3 linked regions of the Drosophila melanogaster genome follow. The protein of the gene in region 1 interacts with the protein of each later gene in a pairwise test. Each region holds a gene or a part of one and is shown in the gene's direction. Other genes may lie near its edges.

Region 1 (6,829 bases):
TGCCTCCACTGTCCATTCGAGACGCAGCAGCACGAGGAGCTGATGCAGCATCTACAGAAGCACGCCTGCGTAAATCCTCCACCTCCGAACTGCCAGAAATGTGCCCATTGTGATTACAATGCCAATGAGGAGGCGGAAATGGAGGAGCACACGGCGCTGCATTTCAATGCTGGTGAGAAGCTCAAGTCCGTGGAGTTCTTTACCTGCTACGATCAGCTGGAGATCAGCGTTGAGCGGGAACCGGAAGAAACCGCTGACTCAAAGGTGGAGCAGACCGAGCACAACAACAACCAGGACAATGTGATGAACGCCAATGTGCAGCAGCAGCAGCAACAGCAGCCAAGCAGCAGCGGCCCAGATGAACAGCCAGCTGTCGAGGGAATGGAGGAGTCGTCGGCCAAAAAGTCCAGCACAAAGTTGATTCTGTACAAGAACGATGGCGGCTTGAGTGTGAAGCTCTCCCAGGATGAGGGCGCCAATTCAGAGTCCCAGAAGAGCGAGAATATCAGCGATCGCCTGCGCAGAAGGATCCTTCGGGGAAGTGCCAACCAGTCGGAGGACGCCACTTCCACCTCCGGCCAGGAGCGACCCGCAACACCGGAAAAAATGATACTGGTCAATGCCCAGACGGGCAAAGTCATTTCCAGAAAGTAGGCCACATCCAAGGGTCGAACCTTTTATTTAATTTAATCCATAATTTATCCAACTAAGCTTATGGTTATTTTTCGATTTAAGTGAGTTTTGGTTTTGTTAATATTTTGTTGTTGCTTATGCTTTTCCATATTTTTTTTTGGGTATGCGTTAGTGGAGTTGGGGATTCGTTTTAGGCACCTGTTTTGGGATTTCTATTGTCACTAACACACACCCACTTATACACACCTAGTTGGAACATGTTCCTGCACTTTTACGTTTTTTCTAGAACCTAAGGTAATTAAGTAACGATAATTTATAAACAAAAAAGGAATGAAATACCATTATTCGAATACTTTGCAAATGGGATAAGCCGGAATTCTTAATGTAATTACTTGCTAGAACGGTGCAAAATGTAATTTAAACTAATCGTATTGTAACTTATCAAAGAGATAACTATAGAAGGCATTTTAATATAGAACCTATATATATATATTTACCATCGGCTTAATATATTAAATTGGAAAACCAACCCAATCCGAGCAAGATCCAAAAGCGTTTCAAGGAAATCAACTTTGTACAGGAGAAAAAGAGATAAATTCAAAATTATGTCTTGCTACAAATAATTCGTTTAATTTTTCGAATGGGAACTGTGATTATTGATAATTGTAAATGCAAAAAAAAAAAGAAATAAGAAAGTGAGCGCGTATATCATGCAATGAATATGGTACTATATACATACTATATAAATCTATACATATATATATATTTACACACAGCTGCTGCAAAAATAAAAACTATAGAAACAAAAAGAAACACATTTAAAATGCAATTGAAAAATCAACAGAGAATAGGGAATTTTTTGCAATATTTGCAATATTATTTTGTACAAGTGCAGCACACATTTAAAATTAGTTAATAGTAATTAGTTTCTACTACGGATTAGTTATGTTCTCATCATTAGTGCGAATGTTTTCCAGCAAACGGCGTCTTTGTAGCACAGTGTAGGCGTTAACACTACAAACAAAATGTTATCATTAAACTATAAGCAAACAAAAAGAACACATGTGGAATAGCGGGGCCATATTTAAATAGTTTAAACTTAATGCAAGGAAACATTTGAAAACAAAGCAAATCAAAACCAGAAGATATAGCGCAAACAAGCGATATGTATACAGAATCTAACTTGGATATAAATGCAAACCGCCTTTGATATGCATATATACATCTTATATCGATACGAATATCTATACACACAATATATTATATATTAAATAGTCCTTAACATTGAACTACATTTAAACTTAAAGCTAGTGTAAATAACTTAGTTTTGTTTACTGCGCACACAACCACACGCAACACTTACACACACCACACAAACACACAATAAGATTTACGGCATTGAATTACAAAAGAGAAAATGTACAAAAACAATTGTTAATAAAGAAATCAAATAAAAACAACACAAGTTGCATTTACAATTGACCGATTATCTGTATGTTTGGTACTTCTATTTAAAAAAGAAATCGAATAATTGGGTTCAGATCTAAACGCCAAAAGTAGTTTCTAAAAATTCAAATCATAATGCAAAATAGTTCATTGACTTCTATTAAATTGAAAGCACTTCAACATTTTTCTTTTTTCTTTACTGAAATCAAACATCAAAATCAAGCATTCTTTTTTAACGGAATTTTAATTTGAAAGGTAGCCTGCGTAACGGTATAGCGGTATATCAATTTAAAAGTGACTTTCAAGATACGGCAACTCTGTGAAACGATTGAATGTGGAACAAAAGATTATTTTACTCTTTTTCTTTTAATTAAAGAAAAAATAATAATAATCAAAAAGGGATATGCAATGCTATTCCAGATTACTCTTACTGAGATACTTAAATAATAACTCTCCAAATAATCAAAAGAGCCAAAGAAAATATAAAATCATATATACTATTTAGCTCCCTGTTGCAATTCCAATCGTTTCACAATCGCTGCCAAGTCAGCTACGCAAATTTGAGGGTATATTTCATAGTTGTCGGTACGGTAACACTGAGAAAGCCGTTTTGTTGAAAGATTACAAATGAATTGCGATGCATTTAGCTAAAATTGAACTTTAGCAGAGCCGCAAAACGATAGAGAGCCAACGCAGAGAACACGGAGCCACCCAAACACATGGATACCAAGTCCAATGATGACTCGGCTGGCAGTGACTCGCTGGACAAATCTATGCAAATCAAGTGTGTGATGGTGGAGACAACGACGACGGGCGACGGAGACTCCACAGTCGGAGATCTGGACAACTGCAGCAGGGATTCCGCTGCGGAATCGATTAACAAGGAATCCGGTTCGATGGAGGGAGCCGGCAAGCAGACGGATCACAAGACTGAAGCTGCGGCGGGGTCGTGCGGCGAGGGCGACAGTCCGCAGAGCAGTCAATCCCCACCAGAACATCCGGCCAGCAAATCGCCCACATCTCCATGCACTGCCTTCGAGACGAAAGTCAAGCTTATATCACAGAACCTCAAGGAAACCACGCTGGCGGAGAGCACCGGCGCCTCCGTATCAGCATCCACATCCACATCAACACCCACGTCCGCCTCTAGTAGCATCAGCGGCAGCATGCTGGAGTCGCAGCAGACACCCAGCCAGTCCACCCCCGAAACAACAGATTCCGCCTCGTCGTCCGTGCGCGTGAAGAAGGTACGCTTCCATCCGGACGTCAAGGAAAACGACGGCGGGAACTGGATGAAAAGAAAGCGACGCTCCATGCATACCAAACGAACCTCCTCGCCCAGCGGCGCTAACTGTGATGGCATGGAGCTGGACGGTGAGTACGAGGACAACGATGACGATGAGCAGGAGGAGGCGGAGGAGGAGTTCGATCTGGCCAAGACAATCGCCGAGGCGGAGGATTACCTCAAGCAGCACCCGTTGACATACGTGCAGCGCGTCGAACAGAACGGCGAGCGGCTGCAGGATGGACTGCTCAGCATCGAGGATATGCTAAACGAAGTCGGCGAGGAGGTGGTCACCGAGTACAACGACGAGGACTTCTTCAGACGCATCAAGCCCGAGAATGGCATTGAACGCATTCTGGGCAAGGAGACCAAGGCGGGAAAGGTACGTTTGCAATACGAAAGCAATAAACTATCAGTACGGTTTAGGGTTCACAAATTTTCTATGAATTCGATTACAGTTTCATTTACAACACATTGTTGGTTTATTCATATCATATTTAGTAAACAAAAATTCTAAGCTGGAAAAGGTTTGCTATATGACTTTTGCTTTTACAAAATAAATAAGCCAAAGATCAGCTTTCTTTACTTTGTAAAGCGAAGGAAAACTTTTAAACAGTCTGAATCTTATGTAGTTTGCCCTCTATCCCAATTGTAGGTATCATTTAATAACCTTAATATCCTTGCAGGTTGAATTCCTTCTGCGCTACGAGAACCAAGGCGGACTCTTCTGGCAATCGGAGGAGTTCATCAAGCGCACGTGCCCCTCGCTGCTCAAGGCCTACGAAATGAATCGAGAACGACGTCAGCAGCGCTTGGTTAGTCCTTATCCTAATTAAAACCACATATAATGCCAGTTTGTAATTCAAATGCTTGTGTTTTGCAGATGCATCACGTTGCCAAAAGGCAGAGTCTGCGACAGCGATACACGGATTTCTAGTAGCGGTTACTTAGGTATTAGGTTCATAATTAGGTTCCACATAATTGTAACATTTTTGTAAAATGAAGTAAATGATTTTCTTTTGTTGAACAAAAATAACTAAACAACACTTGCTTTTCATTATGTGTCATGAGGAATATAACCATTTTGGTAGGCCTAATTTTTGATTTCCCATCGTTAATCAGTTCGCACCTAGTAATTCAGCGATATTTAAATATTTTCAAACGACAAACAAACAATAGTTTCAGATATTTTCAAACTAGTTCTCTTAGAGCAAAAAGGATATATAAATTGGGTATAGATGCTTAGAGAACATTATTGCAATTAAAGGCAAAAACAAAAGTGCAAATTTAAAATTACAAATAGTATTCAAATGATTCACAACTTTTCGGATGTTTAACGAAATTTTAAATTCGATAATGAAATCATAAAAATATGAGGGCCCTGCAAGGGTTAAAGCAACTATCGGCGAACATTCCATCTTTAAGTGTGACCACGCCGCGGCCAGTGTGACTGTCGGCCACCAGACCAAACTGAAACACTGTTCGTCGACTGACGCGAAACCCAAAAATTATAAGTAATTCAATTGGAGGAAAGTTCGGAGGTCTGTATTTCTTGAGCCCATCGCCTGGCCAGTGAAGCATTTGTGTCGATATACGGATCGCATTCGGGCGATCCCCACATAGATATAGCCAGCCGAGGGCCGATAACCAATCCCCACGAAGCTCGCAGAACAAAAGAGAAATTTTTTGCGTGGTCACCACCAGACGTGGAATTGTTCGGGTGAATTGTCGAAACCATATAGAGTTCCGTAAAATGCAATAGTTACGGGCCGTAGCACAACCAATACGTTTTGCAGCAGGTGAAAGTCGGTCCGTAGAGTCAGGTAAGTGCGAATATATGTGCGGCGCAATCCTCGATTTTCCGTATTTCACACACCCTCACATCGAACCTATGTCCGATTATATATCCCACGATTTTGTGTACTTTATCCGCCGTCTCAAATGCGCAAATGAGCTGGTGATATCCCGTGCCGATCCGATCCTATTCGATCGGCTATCCCTAAACATTATATAAGGTTTCGCCATCCGATTCCGCATATGTTATGATATTGTTTACTGCACTTGTTTTGGGTGCAGTGCAGCGCCAGTGCTCGAGAAATCCTCTTCTAAAAATAGTTGCAGCCGTGCACTTTTTGTCAACCTCGGCCGATCTGCGTCCGCTTTTGATTCGCACACTGACTGTGTGCGGCAGGTCAGTTGTCCTGGTATGCTCCCAGCTATGCTGCACATCATCCATCTAGTGCGTAGTTGCGTAGCACAAAGAGAAACGGCCAATCCATCTGGTTTTGGCGATGGCGGCATTGTCTTCGCGTGAACTTGACGTTGACCGCTGGACTTTGTTTTAATTTTCTCTTTATTTGTTATTTTATTTATTTGTCGAGTGCGCGTGCTTTTGTTTGGTTCATTAACCCACATCATCGCCTCTTATTTTGCAGCAGCATCAGAAGAAGCGGCGGAAAAACTACGCCACAAACAAACAAAAACAGTGAGAGAGGCGAAAACAGATTTGGTAGCACAACTGCGCATTGTTTCCCAGAGTACCAGCGGATCCGAGAAATGCCGGAAGAAGAGCCGCCACAAAAGCCCATGGAGGAGGAGGAGGATGATGATCAGGAGCAGGATCAGGATCAGGACCACGAACAGGATCAGCACGAACAGGATCAGCAGCCCCAGTTAGCGCAGGGCGAGATACCCGGTCAGCAACTGCCTGAGCAACCCAACCCCGATGTGCAGCCGCAACAGCCGGCCGAGTCTGTGGTGGTCACCGAATTATCCGCAGAAGAGGTATATCGTTTTCGCAAACTTAATGAAGCAACAAAATATCATATTTAAAGTTATCTAAATCAATAATACAAGTAAACTATTTTGTAAAAGGAAAACGAACTTTAAACTATGATATACTTTAATTGGTAACAGCTAAATTGGTGAACTAACCTCTTTAATTCTTTCAGATGCGCGCCCGTCGTCTTCGGACTTTGGCTGCCCGAAGTGGCATCCAGTGTGCCCTGGCGCCCCTGACTACTACGCCACGGAAGCCGACCAACGTCTCTGGCGAGTCTCGACTGGTACGTGAGGCCACGCCCGGCGAAAAGGAGGTATCGCTGCCCACTTCGGCGCCCGCTTGGAGGGAACTGAGCGGAAAACCGGACATGGATGTGGAGATGAAGTCGGTGGTCTCGACACCAATGCAAGATGTGGATATGACGACAGCGCTCAGCCTGCCAACAGCCGAGGCCACCAAAAGGAGTGTGTTGCAGAGTTGCAAGATATCCGCTGGAAATGCCGAGTTGTCCATTGAAACTGTAGTCGGTCCAAAAAAAAGTGCGGATGAGCAAAACGAACAATTGCTCTCCCGCCTACTGAATGCCACGTGGAATGAGTACGGTAGCGGGTCCATCATTTGTGCCCAGAGTGCCAGCTTCCTGGAGCAGCAGCCACACCGCAGATTCGACTTCGAGTGCATTG
Region 2 (7,984 bases), on another chromosome or scaffold:
CGGCGGTGTCATCACCTACGCCAAGTAAATAGAGCCACAATAGAGGTTTAAGATAAGGATAGGCAGTCCACCTGTAGATCAACAAAAATTCGTACACATTTTATTGCACCTGAAATGCTTAAATGAACCATCGAATAATGTAGAAATCCTTTTCCAGATACGACGACGACTTCCGCAAATTGGTGGAGAAGAATGTACCCGGCGCAGGATCCGTCATCAAGGTGGCTCTGCAGGAGGAACCGCCATTCAAGGGCATCACCAAGAACGTCAACGATCAGATCGATAAGGTCAAGTCTGGCATCGAGACAGTGACGTCCACGGTGGACTCCGTTACATCTAAGGTGACGGGCCTGTTTGGCGGCGGCAGCGGCGATGACAAGTCCAAGAAGTCCAAAGTGGAGCCCGTGAAGGCCACTCCTGCTGAGGAAAAGAGACCCTCAAAACCAAGCGAAGTCAGCAAGACTGAAGCGAAGCCAGTGTCGAAGCCAGCAGCAGCAGCAGCGCCTGCGCCCGCTGCCAAGCCTAAGGATAATCCGCTGCCCCGCGATGTTGTTGAGCTGGAGAAAGCCATCGAGCTGTCTGCTCAACTGGCCGTCAAGGAGTACAACGTCGCTATTGGCGTTTTGAAAGGGTGAGCAATTCTCGTTAACTATTCGTTGCGTGATTTTAAATTTAATCAAATATCGTTCAGCTTTAATGACGATGTCCGTAAGGTTGTAGACAAGGCCGTAGAGAATGGAGAGAACTCTCTTTGGACCACGCTGAAAAATCGAGCAAGTGCCCGTGATACGGCAGTGGCTACGGCAGAGCGAGCTGCCCGTGAGGCTCAGGAGAAGATTGGTAAGTCCATTGTTTGTTAAATAGATTCCAAATTTCAGTAACATTCCCTTCTATCAACTGCAGTCGCCTGCGAGATCGCCCTGAGTGCTGCGGCAACGGCCCAAAACGCAAAGAAAGTAGAGGCAGTGCGCGACAAGATCAAGAAGCTTGTGGACCACATTGGCAACGTAAAGGACGAGCTTTACCGGCACAAGGACACGGCCAGCGTGTCAGACAAGTACTGGCGGAATGTGGAGAAGGCGCGAAACTACTTCATTGACGAGATCGAGTCTATCTTCCCCGGCCTCAGTTTGGCGGATAAGAAACTTAATCTGTCAAAGGAGGACCTAGACTTGTTCATCCTGCACGCCTACACCCATGTCCTGGCCTACCAGAAGGAGCTGCAGCGCTTGCAAACCGATGGTGAGCTGCGCCTGAAGAGAGCTATTGACTCGGTTCGCGGTGACAACGATTCGGAGGCTTTGCGCGCCCAACTGGAATACCATTTGGAGGCCGAGCGGCGCAAACTGGCCGTGGAAAATCAAAAGAAAATCTTCCACATCCACGCCGAGTCTGATAAGCTGCTGCGCTTGCAGCTCAAAAAGCAAGCAGAGGCCCACGCCGATCATATAAAGGACATCGTGGCGCAGCGGGAGACCGATCTGACGCGAAGCTTTAAGCGTGAACTTGAGGATAAGCTGGCGACCGAAAAGGCCAACTATAAGTTACAATTGGCCGGGATGCTCGGCAAGCTGCGCGGAATGGACGCGGCTCTGGCAGGTAAGTTATACGTTTTAAACGATATCGGTTGAATGTAGCTAGTGTAGCGTGGCTAGATATATAATGGTTTTCAAACCTTTTCAAAACATGCTGCTATATTAGAGATAGAGGATGAGTTTCAAGGTATATTCACCCTATATGAAGGGTAGTACTTATACCAACTTATTCTTGGTTTAATCAAAATGTTTATTGACATTATATGCAACATTTTTGCAGAGCGTGCGGATGCAGAGCGTACTGCCAATCAGGCGCAGGCCCTTTGGGCCGCCTGCCAAGCTCTGTGGGCCTCCGTGCGCGCTGCCACTCCTGGCGTGCACTATAAGGATAGGTTGCGCCCGTTAAAGAACGAGATCAATGCCATTGCCAAGGTGGCTAGTAAGTTGAAACGTTTCCCACATTTCGATTTCAGTTGCTAAATGCATATGCTTACAGAGGGTGACGACCTGGTGGCCGCTGTGCTGGAAAGCGTCCCGAAGGAGGCTCAGGAGCGCGGTGTCTATCCAGAAGATGCATTGCGCGAGCGTTTCCTGAATGTGGAGCGCGTGGCGCGACGATTGGCTTTGGTGCCCGAGGAAGGAGCCGGCCTGCCCATCTACTTCCTGTCCTATCTGCAATCGCTGTTCATCTTGCGACCCGATAATCCCATATCCAAGGACGAACTCGAGAACAAACCCTTCGACTATAGCAAACTGGACACCTACGATATCCTAAACAGGGCCAGGTGAGGCGATTGATTCATCTATCACTAGAGTTATATAATATATATTATATATATTATGTTTCACAGGTACCATGTGGATCGCAGCGACTTTCTGCAGGCGCTCAAGTACATGAATCTGCTGCAGGGTGCATCGCGCAAGATTGCCGGCGAGTGGATGAAGGAGGCTCGCCTCATGCTGGAGACTCAGCAGGCGGCCAACACCTTGATGGCTCACGCCGCTGCCAGCGGACTATTGTATTTGTAGACTACGTCCCGTGTCCCCTTCCTTCAGAAACAAGATGATACACTTACTATTTGTTATTAGTCCAGGAGAAGATGGTACGATTACCAACAATATGTAATTTGTCCAATTAGCGATCACAGTTGAAACGAAATAGCACTTATATACATATATTTGTAACATTTTGTTTAGCTTCAATTATACAAATTAAACATAGAAACCATCATTATAAAATCCAAAACATAAATACTCTGGGAAGATTTGTAAAAAATTCGATACCAAGGCATGAATGGAATATGATATATTACTAAAGCTGAAATTGGCAAGCTTTGTGTTTCTGAAGAACAATGTGATTAGGCCATAAATAAACATAAAGAACATCCACTTGTTGTTTAATTTAGCGAAAAAAATTAATATAATAAATAAGTTGACTAAAAAGTATGCTGAATGTCAAAATTCAAATAAAATGCATTGGCTAAATTTAATTTCTCTGTTCTGAAAAGAAAGCATGGTAGGCAAGGCAAATGTATTCAAAAACAGGTTACTATGCGGTTGCCGCCAAATTTATTCCTTAAATAATCGTATATGTTCGTTACTAATTTTCGAACGCCAAAATCGCGATAGTTGGTCGTTAGCCAGCACTGGACGCGCCAGTTTCGTGGGCGGCTATCGCCAGCCCTGGTAGTCAGAGGCAATCAGCTGGTTTGCGTGGTCGATTTGGTCCTATTGAAATTTTTCGGTTTGGCACCGGAGCAAAAATCACATCGCAATCAAAAATTTCGCGTGGCCAAAGGACACACTTTTGAGTTTGGATCAACAGCCGGGAAGATCTAGCTAACCGAATAGCAAAATGTCGATGCTGGCGAGAACAGTTGGACGGACGTTCATGCAGGTAAACGGCCATCCAAACCGCAGCTCTTACATAAACACTTGCTCGCGACGCGCTGTGCGAATATTTCTGCGCTGAGGCCTAGTTCTTATACGTTTCTTTTTTTTTTTTTTGAGGTTATAATCCTAGCCAGCCTTAACGATTACATTGCATTCTTCTCGTTTTAGGCTGCGGCAGCACGTAGTCTGCACACCACGTCGACGCTACGGGCTACGGTGAGTGTTAAATGCGCTTATTAAGTGGCACCAGTTGTAACCGGAAAATAATTGGTCTTGCAGGATAACTACGGCGCCAACAGGACCACCTGCACACTGATTCCCGGCGACGGTGTGGGTCCCGAGCTGGTCTACTCCCTCCAGGAGGTCTTCAAGGTAGCTAACCATCCATCAAGTTGCAATCATTCACATACAGTATTCCAATGCGTCCTAATTCTTATAAATCTATACTCTTGCGTCTCTTGATCTCTCTTAAAAAAAAGGTTATTTAAGCTTAGGATCATTGCCAGCTTGGTTTCCTATTTAATAGAAAAGCTTTTTTTAAGCAAGTCGGCGTTTAGTTAGTTATGTACATATTTCTAGAATCTATTAGATTTAAAAAGCACAGGGCTCTAAAAATTAATTAATATATTTCACTCTTCACAGAGCGCATTGTATTTGATAACACTTCCATTTTTCCCGATCACGAGTGTTTTTATTATATAAATCAAAACATCAAACTTATCTGTATCGTAAAGATATGTGATAAGTGGCTGCTACTTGAAAATTTTAGTAGATTTCGGGATTTCCGTTTTAACTGAACATACATGTTCATACGTGCGACTAAATTAAAAAATGCTATGTAAATTCTTTAACTTTTCAAGCCCAATCAATATGCATAATTATCTTATCTTGTCGTTCAGGCAGCCAGCGTTCCCGTGGACTTCGAGTGCTACTTCCTTTCCGAAATCAATCCCGTGCTTAGTGCCAAACTGGAGGATGTGGTGGCATCCATTCAGAAAAACAAAGTGTGCATTAAGGTAAGTTTGCAAGAAAATAAAATAGTGTGATAAAATCTAAACAATGTGCTCCTTCAGGGCGTTTTGGCCACACCCGACTACAGCAATGTGGGTGACCTGCAGACCCTTAACATGAAGCTTCGCAACGACCTGGACCTCTACGCCAATGTGGTGCATGTGCGCAGCTTGCCCGGTGTCAAGACCCGCCACACCAACATCGACACGGTGATTATTCGCGAGCAGACGGAGGGCGAGTATTCGGCGTTGGAGCACGAGTCGGTGCCCGGCATTGTGGAGTGCCTGAAGATTATCACCGCCAAAAAGTCCATGCGCATTGCCAAGTTCGCCTTCGACTATGCGACGAAGAATCAGCGCAAGAAGGTCACCGCCGTGCACAAGGCGAATATCATGAAGTTGGGCGACGGTCTCTTCCTACGCTCCTGCGAAGAGGTTTCCCGGCTCTATCCGCGCATCCAGTTTGAGAAGATGATCGTGGACAACACGACCATGCAGATGGTTTCCAATCCCAACCAGTTCGACGTGATGGTCACCCCCAATCTCTATGGTGCCATTGTGGACAATCTGGCCAGTGGTCTCGTGGGCGGTGCTGGTGTCGTTGCTGGTGCCTCCTACTCCTCGGAATCCGTCGTCTTTGAGCCGGTAAGATTCGCCATAAAGACATAAAGATAATCCATAAGATCGTGATTTACACGGTTCTCGAGCCTAGCTGTGCGAATCCACTTCAGACTATTCTTATCTCTAATACCGATTTCCGATTGCAGGGTGCACGTCACACCTTCGCCGAGGCCGTGGGCAAGAACGTGGCTAATCCCACTGCCATGCTGCTCTGCGGCGTGAAGCTGTTGCGCCACATCAACCTGCCCACCTACGGCGAGATCATCCAGAATGCCATCAACAAGGTGCTGAACGATGGCAAGGTGCGTACTAAGGATCTGGGCGGACAATCGACCACGCAGGACTTTACCCGCGCCATCATCCTGAACATGTCCTAGATGGGCACCACTGTCATCGCCGGCATCGCGATCAGCAAGTCTACAACATCATGGGCAACAACGTTGGCGCTTATATAATCGACATTAGACAGTTTCTGTTGTTGCCACAGCTAAATTTTGAATTGTTGAAAGAAACACCTTGAAAGTTCTTAGTTATCCTATTACGTCCAATTTTTTTTATTTGTCCCGATGTCTTCAGTGCATTCATTTGAGTATTATTTCCGGCGAATATTTAAGTTTAGTCCAATTGAAACGCCTGCAGACCCGCCCCGAATCCAAAAGTTGCGAATTCTTTAGTTTTACCAATTGGCAGTAATACATCGATCCTTGATTATGTTGTAATTATTTACGTATTATTTCCCCCCCCCCCCCTTTTTGATTTCGCAAAGATGCTAATTTACGGTCGAATTATATTTTATGTTTAACCCGTTGAAAAGCAAAACAAAAAAAAAAACCGAAAACAAATGATATTGCTAAACCAATTAACTGATAACGGATGGCTTTGAGTGGACCCACTCCACTGGAGCTGTGAGAAAGATAACAATAAACTCAAATCTAAATTAATTATTATTTAAAAGCCATTGTCAGTTCCGAGCTGTCTAAATTTTAAGTAATACAAACAAAAGATAAAAAAAAAAACCCAAACATATTTCTCAAACTTTTTTTTGACTGGAATGAAAGGCCAAAGGAGATTTCATCGCTATTCCCAACTCCGGCGCCACTTTCACAGGAAATCCAATCCCGTAAAGAGCCGGAAAAGCTCTAGTTGTTTTTTAAAAAACCAAAAACAAATTTATTAGAAAAGTCGATACCAAATGTAGCCGAAATGAAAAACTTAGAACACCAATAAGGACGGTAATGATTATCCAGACGCACAGTCCACGTCCGTCTCCAATTATTATCCACCCTTGGGCTTGGCCAACTCGATGAGGCGTGGCGAGGCTTTGGCCTTCAGAGCCGCCGGCGATATGGCAAACGGATTCTCCCGGATATGCGTGTTCTCGAACTCCTTGGGCTCCGCCAGCTCCTTGATCCGCGTGCTCGCCTTGTATTTGAGCGCGTTTGGCGCGATACCGAATGGATTCTCCTTGACATCCGCCAGTCCTTGGTTGGCATCGCGCGTGGTAAGTGGCTCGGACATCTCCTTGATGCGGGCACTCGCTAAGTGAAGCAATGCCAGGTGCTGCATTATTAAAAGATCAACTAAATTGGAGTATGTGTACTTACGCTTGTAGCGAAGGGCATTGGGCGAGACCTTCTCCGGATTCTCGTTGATGTGGACATTATCGCGCACGACGGGCTGCGATATTTGCTTGATCCGCTTGGTCGCCTTGTAGTCCTTCATCTGGGAGGTCAGCTCCCACTTGGGTTTGATCTCCTCCAAATAGGCCTTGGGACTGGCCAGCTGATTGAGACGCACGGGATCGAACTCCCCAGCTCCACGATCCTAAATGAAATGGGGGATTATCATCAGTTTTTAGCTGAATTTAGTTTTTTTTTTAACTTACCGGTTTCGGGACCTTTGGTGCTTTCTTTGGTTTCGCCAACTTTTCGATGTACTTCTCGTGCTTAGCCAGCTGCTTCTCCGTCTTCTTCTTCTTTTTCTTCCTGCAAGCACAAAGGATAATGGGTTTATAAATAATAATGAATGAACATAAGATAGATAGATATATTATCTTACGGCTTAACCAACGGCTGGATATTCGTGAGACGACTGTACAGCGATAGATAGCTGTAGCGAAGCCATCTGTTCAGTATGGACTCCCCAATTGAGTCGCCCGCCAGAATGGCCGTTCGCCGCCTGTGAAGCAATCGACGGACCGTGGGCAGAGCTAGTTGCTCGGTGCGTGTGTGATTCTGGGCGTCACATGGTCGCACCATCTCGATGGACTTGGGAAATGAGCAGGCGCATTTCGGCACAAAGCGGCAGGTGCGTCGCCTGGGTATGGCCATTTCCATCAGACGCCGCCGCTTGACGAACATGCGCTCGTGTCGGCGCGTCAGTTTGTCCAGCTCCTGGCCAATGTCCCTAACGAAGCACTCGGCATCGTAGGGAATGGGGTCCCGGATGGGACAGCAGTCCGGACGGACGCAGTCCTTCAGCTGCAGACAAGTGGTCACCGTCGGGCTGAGGTCACACTTCAGTCCTTGGATGGTCATTCTGTGGATTTCCGAATTTTGACGCACTACTTTAAACCAATTAATGCTAACTTTTTTATTCGCTTATGATAAAAAACATCTACGATTATCTGAACGAGTTGAAAGCTAACTTCATCTGGAGAATTTTTTGTGGCAACTAAGTACAGAAATTTTGGAATTTGACAGCAAATGAAATGCATACATTTTTCGCTATTAGACAAGATTTTTTAATACTTACCTAAGCTGGAATTTTAATTTCAAAATTAAGCTTTATCCACTTAACCCCGATGGCAATGAAAAGACGTTGTTAATCTTTAATTAATGTTTTATTGACAGTATTCATAAAAATACTGAGAGTATGCTCCAAGTTCACATCATTACAAGTTAATAGTTTTGTTTTTGGGCCTTG
Region 3 (7,851 bases), 6.6 Mb from region 1:
ATGAATTCGCTGGAGGATCACGACGACGAAGTGACCGCCGAGCTGCCCACCACTGCCGCGGCACAGGCTTTGGTTCCAGGCAAGCGCCTGTCTGCCAACCAGCAACACGATCATCGCAATCTGTACAAGAGTGTGGATCTCAAGGCCGGATTCGCGCACGAGCTGCTCATCCGGAACGAGGATCCCAAGAGTGTGCTCACCTGGGACTTCGATGTGATGCGCAACGATCTGCACTTTACGCTCTACCGGGTCACCCAGGAGCTTCCGGAAAAGAATGGTGAGTTAATAATGCACTTACAAAAGGTTTTCATGTTGCTTTTTGTTTTTCTTTTGTTCTGAGAACTGGTTTTGGTTTCAAAGGTGCGAATATCACGATGTTGTTGCCTCATTAGAAGTTGTTTTTGTTTACTTAGCACTTTTATAAAAACACAAAGCCACGATAAAAAGCGAAAAATGCGGAAAGTGGAAACTCTTACACCCTTTCGAAAAGAAAAGAAAATTTGTTGTCAGGCAACTTAAAAACAAATTAATAACGTTTGGCTTAAATTGAATAGTTTACTATTACAATTAAGTATTAAAACGTATGTTAATTTGTGTATATATTTATTTATATAAATTTCCAAGGTATCTGTTGCTAGGGCTCTATTAAATTGATAACGCGCGCATTTTGGTTCCGGTTTATTGATAGGGATTGCTTTTCATATGTGTTTTGATAATGTAGTAAAATACGAAAAAGTTGAACCTTATTTTATAAAGCTTTTTGTACTTTGAACCTTTTAATTAATTAACTTGATTAGCTTGACAGCTTACATATAATTAAATGCCCTTCGCCCACAGATTCCGCCGTCTCGTACTTTGATCTGCAGGACTTCGTCGAGGGCGTCAATTATTTCCGTGAGGAGCCAACGCTGATTTGCCGGCACAAGGAGAGCGTCCAGGGGTCGCACGTGATGCATCACAACGACAGCTATCTTATGCACTGGTTTAGTCCATCGGGTGCCCAGTTAAACGTCTTCTACGAGGTGCTCAGCTCGGCCAACTACAAGGGTTCGATGACCAGCCTGCAGTCGGCATTCTCATCGAACTCGTCGGCGGCCAGCTCGGTGCAGAGTCGATGATATGAGAAAGCCGGGGATGGCGGAACGAACGGCGCCGAATGGAGATCCCCGGCATTGGAGGAGCCCATAGCGGCGGACATTCTCACGGGCACCCTGATGGAGAAGAGCCTGAATCTATTTGAAACGCCGGACGTATTCTTTTAAGACCGAAAGTGGTAATATCTTGTGTTTTAGTTGTCTTTAGTTGTTTAGCAGAATGTTAGTTTGATTTTAAATTGTATTTAGCTCAAATAGGCCATTTATTTCCTTTTAAATTTATTATATTCATTCAATATATACAAGCATTCATATTATTGATAATCTTAAGAAAATTAGAAATATCAGCGGTTTAAATGAGCAACACCAAAATATCACGCAACGTTTTATTTGAATCGTCAATTTGAATTTTTCGTAAGCAGCTCTATAAATGAAGTTTTAATGCGTACATATATATGTAAAAGCGACGTAATTTTTATAGCTTTTTCTAATGGAACATTTTTTAGCAACAATTAAGGAACTTATTGCGATTGCGCAGCCACTGAAACGAAAATAGAAAAAATTGAAATTGTAATCAATAACTACGTGTTACCTAATTAGTTTAATAAACAAATTGCCGAAATGGCTTATTGCAAGGATTTTAGCCAGAACTTATACAAAAGAGTGAAATGTAAGATTTGAACTCGAAATACACACGTAGGTTATAGCTAGACGTCAGATTATAATTATAAATGTAAAATTGTATTTTAAACATTCGAATGCAGAACGTTTTTGATTGCACACTAATTACCCCGTCATTTGTACGCCCTTAATTGCTAATATCAATCAATCTCCAAAGTGTTTTTAAAATCAAAAAAGGCAACTTCAGTGTGTTTTTTTGGTTATTATTTATTGTATTAAAAACGAATTACTATGCGGATGTTTACAATTTAGTTTTATAAATAATCTGACGTGTATTGTAAGAATAAACTGACAAGCCAATAACGAAGGAAAAATGAGTGCATGTTAACTAAGTGTGTAAGTTGTATTAAGAACGTAATCAAATAAATGCTATTAGATCAATTACATGTACATATTCGCATTTTATTGTGGGCTCTTGAAAAAAATAAACTATTCAACAGTTTTAATTAAAATCAAATTTAGAATCCATGAAAATTGTATGGTATGGATATGGATGCTCTTTTCATATTTTAAATGTGGATTGTAATGTTTTTATATATATTGTAATGTTTTTATATAACAAAATAGATAAAATTAGACCAGCAAATGACTCGTTTCTGATAGAAAGAATATTCAAATTACGCGCCAGACCTACTATTCCAGCCCTGGCTACCTTGAGAAGGTCTGGCAACGCCCCCGCTAAAACATTTTGTGAAAACATTGAATTGTGATATTAAAGAAAATTAAACATGAAATTTATGTATATTATGTATAATAATTAAATAATTATATTATATAATAATTAACAGAATTTAAAAAACTTCACATTTTGTATTTATATAACACCGTTCTTTCTCATGGCTTAAGTCACGTCAAACTATGTTATCTTCAATGGTGAAAAACTGGGTTAAAATTGTTTGTTTATCGCGCTTGTTGTTGGCTGATGGCTGATAGGAAATTAAAGCAATGTTTGTGGCCGCTAAAAGATTCGAATTTCGCAGGCAGCACCCACCACCACCTGCACGGGCCGCCCTAATCCCGCATTCTCCTAGGGCCCGTATCTTATCCGCGGCGGATGCAAACCACTAAAAGGCTACTTGGCCATGAAGTGCGGATAAGCGGATTCCTTCTTATCGCCGCTGGCCATTGGACATTGGCTATTTTACCAATAATAGTTACGAGTGCCTGGACTTTCAAGCATTTCGCGCCTAGCATTCGAAGCAGCCAGACCAGTCGCTAGAATCGAACTCCAACATGGTTGCATTGAGCACAAAGTAAGTACCCCTGCCCCACAGCCCCATCGCCTCGACTGACGACCACAACGTCCACCAATCCAACATTCCAACAAGAGCCAGTTCTCTGGGCAATGGCGAGCGGAGTAGGCGATGGCGATGGTGGTGACCAAAACGGTCTGAACTCATTACTAACCGCACTGGGCGACTATTACAGCGGCCGCCGGGAGGAGAAGGCTGCAGCCAACATCTACGATGACAAACGGATCTTTCCCGACTTCCGTAGCGGACCTTTGGAAGAGTACCGTGAGCGGGCTAGCTTCTGCTACAAGCGCATGAACGTGGTGCTCGAGGGCGAGGATCACATACGGCTGAAGGTTCGTTACCATTTCCAGTTTGTTACATATGTACATGGTCAGCGGGGTCGAAGTGCAGACTGCCTCGATAGCTTTTGTCGGAGCTGCAGGCCGCCAACCGCCCGGTCTAATCGTCGCCCGTTTCTTATCTGCACACTTGAGTAATTCGTTTACATGTCACTCCGTCTTTAGCACAAGGTGTGGCAATGGATGGAACAGCACCCCGACTACCAGCGGGAGCCAGGATCCGATTTGGAACGCACCCGCGAAATGGCCAACAAGCGGCAGCATCTTCTGTGGGAGCAACAGTTCTACGGCGTCAACGAGGTAGGATGCGTTGCGTACTCCTGAAAGTGTGGCTGCCTAAATCTCCTGTCTTTCTTTCAGTATCTTGGAACCCCACATCTTCTGCTTGCTTTCGGACAGGCCATCTTTAGCTACGATTTCAGCACTTCGGTCAAGTTCGGCCTTTCAACTGGCATGTTCCCCAGCACGCTGGTCTCCAACGGATCTGGCCGCCTGGGCAAGTACGTGGCCAAGATCGCGGACAACCGCATTTTGGGCGCCTACGCTCTCACTGAGATTTCTCACGGCACCAACGCGCTCGGCATGCGCACCCGTGCCACCTACGATGTGAAAAGGCAGGAGTTTATCATCCACACGCCAGACTTCGAGGCGGCCAAGTGTTGGGTCGGTAATCTAGGCAAGACTTGCACGCACGCAATCGTCTACGCCCAGCTGTACGTGCCGGATGACAAGCACCAGGGCCTGCAGGCCTTCCTTGTTCCCATTCGGGACGAGCGTACATTGCTTCCATTCCCCGGCGTAACCGTCGGCGATATGGGCGAAAAGATCGGTCTCAATGGCATTGATAACGGGCAAGTACTTTCTTCTATCAGTTGATAAAACTAATCAACAGCAACAGAAATAATTTCGATTTGTTTGGCATTGCAGATTTGTGATGTTCAACCAGTATCGTATCCCTAAGGCAAATCTGCTGTCCAAGACCGGTGACATCGATGCGCAGGGAAACTACACCAGTAAAATTAAGGACGAGCGTAAGCGCCTTGGCGCCTCCTTGGGTGCCCTCTCCGTGGGTCGCGTCAATATCACTGCTATCACGTATGTGGCCTTGAGCAAGGCTGTGACAATTGCCACTCGCTATGCGGCCAGCAGACGCCAGTTTGGCCCTACCAACAGCCCGGCGGAGTGGCCCGTGATCGAGTATCAGTCACAGCAATACCGACTAATTCCCCACTTGGCCACCACAATCGCCTTGCGGGTGGCCACACTCTGGATAGGCAAAGAGAACGTGGATTTGACCATGAAGGGCTTCACTGGCGAGGACACGTCGCAAGCGGGCATGGAGATCCATGCGATCTCATCGGCACTCAAACCAGTTGCCACTTGGGCTGCCAGGGATGGCATCCAGGTATGAATGCTTTATATATGTATATAACCACTTTTACTTATCGGTTATATTGTTTTAATCTCAGGAATGCCGCGAGGCCTGTGGCGGTCATGGCTATCTTAAATCTTCTGGCTTGGGCGAACTTCGCAACGACAACGATGCCAACTGCACCTATGAGGGCGAGAACAACACGCTCATCCAGCAAGCGTCCAATTGGTTGATCAGTCTGCAACGCAACAATGCCGACTTCGTGGCAGTTTCCCCATTGGAGACAGTCTCCTTCCTGAAGGATATGGACACAATTCTGCAAAGCAAGGGTCAGGAGCGAACTCCTGCCGAAGTTTTGGATCCGCTCAGTGAGTATTTCTTAGTTATCCAAATATAAGATAGGAATAACGCAATTTTATTGCACTTCTATAGATCTACTTAATGCCCTCAACTGGCTTACCGTCTGGCAACTGGATACGACGGTGAAACGAGTTGAGGAACAGCAGCGCGAAGGAAAGGATGCCTTTGAGACGAGGAACAACATCCAGGTCTTTGCCGCCCAGAAGCTCTCCATTATCTACGGCGAGGTGAGATGCCAACCCTCTAAACCCCAACTAAATAGTAAAATAACCAAGTTTAATATTCTTTTAGCGCACCATCTACTACGTGTTTTATAAGTTTGTAATTGGTCTGCCCGACTCTGCTGAGAAGAAGGTACTGCAGCAGGTGCTCTCCTTCTATGGCGCCCACTTGGTCACAAAGTACTCCGCTGCTTTCTACCGCGGTGGTTACTTCCGCGAAAACTCTAACCAACTGGAGCTGTACGAACAGGGCATTCTGGCTCTGCTTCCCCTGCTGAAGAACGAAGCCATTGCTCTGGTGGATGCCATTGCTCCCACAGACTTTATTCTAAACTCTCCTCTGGGCATGAGCGATGGAAACGTAAGTGGTCTACCATAAGCAACTGCTACTCTTACTAAAGATTCTATCCTTTCGCAGGTCTACCAGCATCTGCAGCGCACGCTTGTCTCCACTCCAGGTGTCTACGAGCGTCCTCATTGGTGGCGTGATGTTACCTACAAGGATTACCTTAAGCGCGCCAAATTGTAGACTCACTGTAAAATCCCAAATAAGAAGACTTTACTCGTTGAGTTTTTGTAAGAAACTGATTTTATTTGGAAATATCTTCGGTTTAAATAGGTGACATGAGAATCGCATCTTAAAGTAAATGGCCTACGCAGAGGCCTAAGTAAATAGTCCCCGCCTTATCGAGGTCCCACGCTCGGGCACATCTGCCTATCTTGAGCGGCGAGGACCTTATCTGTGGTCTCCCACTAAGGGACTATTTTAGGAGGCGGGGAACGATCTCAAGTGACTGACTCATGTAGTGTGCACTTAAATTACATGTTTTTGAGCAATGCACCCATGTCGCCTTAGATAACAAAATCCTAAATATAATTTATCGCTCTCGATTCATTTACATAAGATATGAACGGAGCCCAAAATTGTAAGTCTTTAAATATATTCGTGTTCATGTGTGAACATTCTGCCAAAGGGCCAGCAAGCTGAGATGTACATTAGTATATTAGTTGCATTTATAACAGTAGTGGACTGTATTTATTTGATATATGTTCATTTATTTTGCAACTAAGATTTCAATGGGCCTAGTTTTTCTGGCTTTTAATTTTATTGGATTACAATTATGGTTTATATTATTTTTAATTCAACAATTTGTACTCAATTAACTTATTTTAAACATTTTGCTTTTTCTATGTAGAAGTACATTTTCTATTAAACAACGATATAGTGGACTGTATATTTTTATTTGTTATATTATTTTATTGTTTATTTACTATTGATATTTATAGTACTGGCAACGGACCTGCAAAGGTTATTGCTTGCATTCTTTGTTGCACAGCACATTTCCGTATGAAATATATTATTAATACTATCATTAGTATTAAAGCAATAATTAATCCAGCATGTCCGGAAATATGATGGAAATGTAAATCTTTCAATTTTTGATGGTTCTCTTTCATAAATTTAATTTCATTATTCAATCGTTCAAATTCCTCAGTATGATTTAATATTGATAGTTTCAGCGGATCCCAAATAATCTTCGGCGCTTCACTAATTTCTCCTATATAAGGTGTTGATAATAATTCTTCACTTTCGGACTGAATGTTATGGTGGGCAACTAGAATTTTATCGTCGGTTCTTGCCGTACAATATGGCGCAATGCTTAAAACTCCTTGCTGAGGCAAATCAAACAATTCAATTTGAGAGCCAGTACATTGCAGACGGACTTTTGAATTCGCAGGAACCTTAAACAACCAACTACTTTTCTTTTCTAACTCTACCCAGTAACTTTTAGAGTCGACTACTGTTTTATAGATGCAGTTCGCCGCTTTATCTGGCTTTAGAGGCTGAATCTCACATGCATTATCATTCGCTGAATTCCAGGGCCAACTTCCTTTGCATATTCTCTTATTTAGTTGCCATTTCTGACATTGATTTAATGTGGCTTCCGTCATTATGTGATAGGAATCTATCTCAAAATTATAAATTAAATATTCGGACGTTGTATGCACCATTATTATCCGATCTTCATTTCGAATTGGCACCGGAATAAGCCTGAACAATTTGGATGGATGCCTGCTAAACAGAGGCACTTTTGCACTAATGATCAATTTATCGTCGATGAATAAACCCCTGGCTGTTAACAGTGTATACACTTCCTTAAGTTCCGTACCTGACCGTTTTCCTGGAATTACTAGGTTCTCCGAAAGACTCTGCTGAATTTTGGCAATTTCTTTTTTAAGCTGATTTGGCCTGAGAATATTTGTATTTAGCCTACCGTGATTAATATCAATCAACAGGCTTATAATGCCTGCTTGAATTTTTTCGCCTTCTTCAATCAATGAGTGTAGCTGTTTCGTAATCATAAAGAATTTTATTGATTCCTTATAAACATAATAATTTTCTTTAAGAACTTCTGTCATGTTCTCAATTCTTATTTGCATACTTCTAAAATTGGAGTTAACATCTTCTGTTGTTCTCTTTAATAGATTAGAAGTTGAATCAACCACAGATGTTTGTTTTTGAATTAG

What was found. The genes of interacting proteins can lie anywhere in the genome.
Region 2: the proteins of CG9933 (region 1) and Idh3b interact in a two-hybrid assay, tested with the Drosophila melanogaster proteins (one large-scale study listed by BioGRID).
Region 3: the proteins of CG9933 (region 1) and Acox3 interact in a two-hybrid assay, tested with the Drosophila melanogaster proteins (one large-scale study listed by BioGRID).

What each region holds. Positions count from the first base shown.
Region 1 is NT_033779.5:13,017,148-13,023,976, reverse strand, and holds CG9933 (uncharacterized protein), read left to right. Parts: upstream 1-2,664; 5' UTR 2,665-2,798; coding exon 2,799-3,746; intron 3,747-4,050; coding exon 4,051-4,179; intron 4,180-4,247; coding exon 4,248-4,301; 3' UTR 4,302-4,402; downstream 4,403-6,829. Other genes in the region: CG9932 (uncharacterized protein), read left to right, coding at 1-654; Ube4B (ubiquitination factor E4B), read left to right, coding at 5,921-6,148, 6,316-6,829.
Region 2 is NT_033777.3:22,014,440-22,022,423, reverse strand, and holds Idh3b (isocitrate dehydrogenase 3b), read left to right. Parts: upstream 1-3,239; 5' UTR 3,240-3,390; coding exon 3,391-3,432; intron 3,433-3,596; coding exon 3,597-3,644; intron 3,645-3,707; coding exon 3,708-3,800; intron 3,801-4,327; coding exon 4,328-4,444; intron 4,445-4,501; coding exon 4,502-5,083; intron 5,084-5,205; coding exon 5,206-5,436; 3' UTR 5,437-6,033; downstream 6,034-7,984. Other genes in the region: mitofilin, read left to right, coding at 1-24, 158-631, 692-840, 904-1,599, 1,702-1,722, 1,816-1,974, 2,032-2,320, 2,387-2,564; Theg (testicular haploid expressed gene), read right to left, coding at 6,335-6,597, 6,664-6,883, 6,945-7,044, 7,118-7,596.
Region 3 is NT_033779.5:6,443,119-6,450,969, reverse strand, and holds Acox3 (Acyl-CoA oxidase 3), read left to right. Parts: upstream 1-3,107; 5' UTR 3,108-3,120; coding exon 3,121-3,363; intron 3,364-3,534; coding exon 3,535-3,669; intron 3,670-3,729; coding exon 3,730-4,220; intron 4,221-4,296; coding exon 4,297-4,774; intron 4,775-4,838; coding exon 4,839-5,109; intron 5,110-5,173; coding exon 5,174-5,328; intron 5,329-5,392; coding exon 5,393-5,683; intron 5,684-5,740; coding exon 5,741-5,851; 3' UTR 5,852-5,900; downstream 5,901-7,851. Other genes in the region: retm (real-time), read left to right, coding at 1-277, 838-1,118.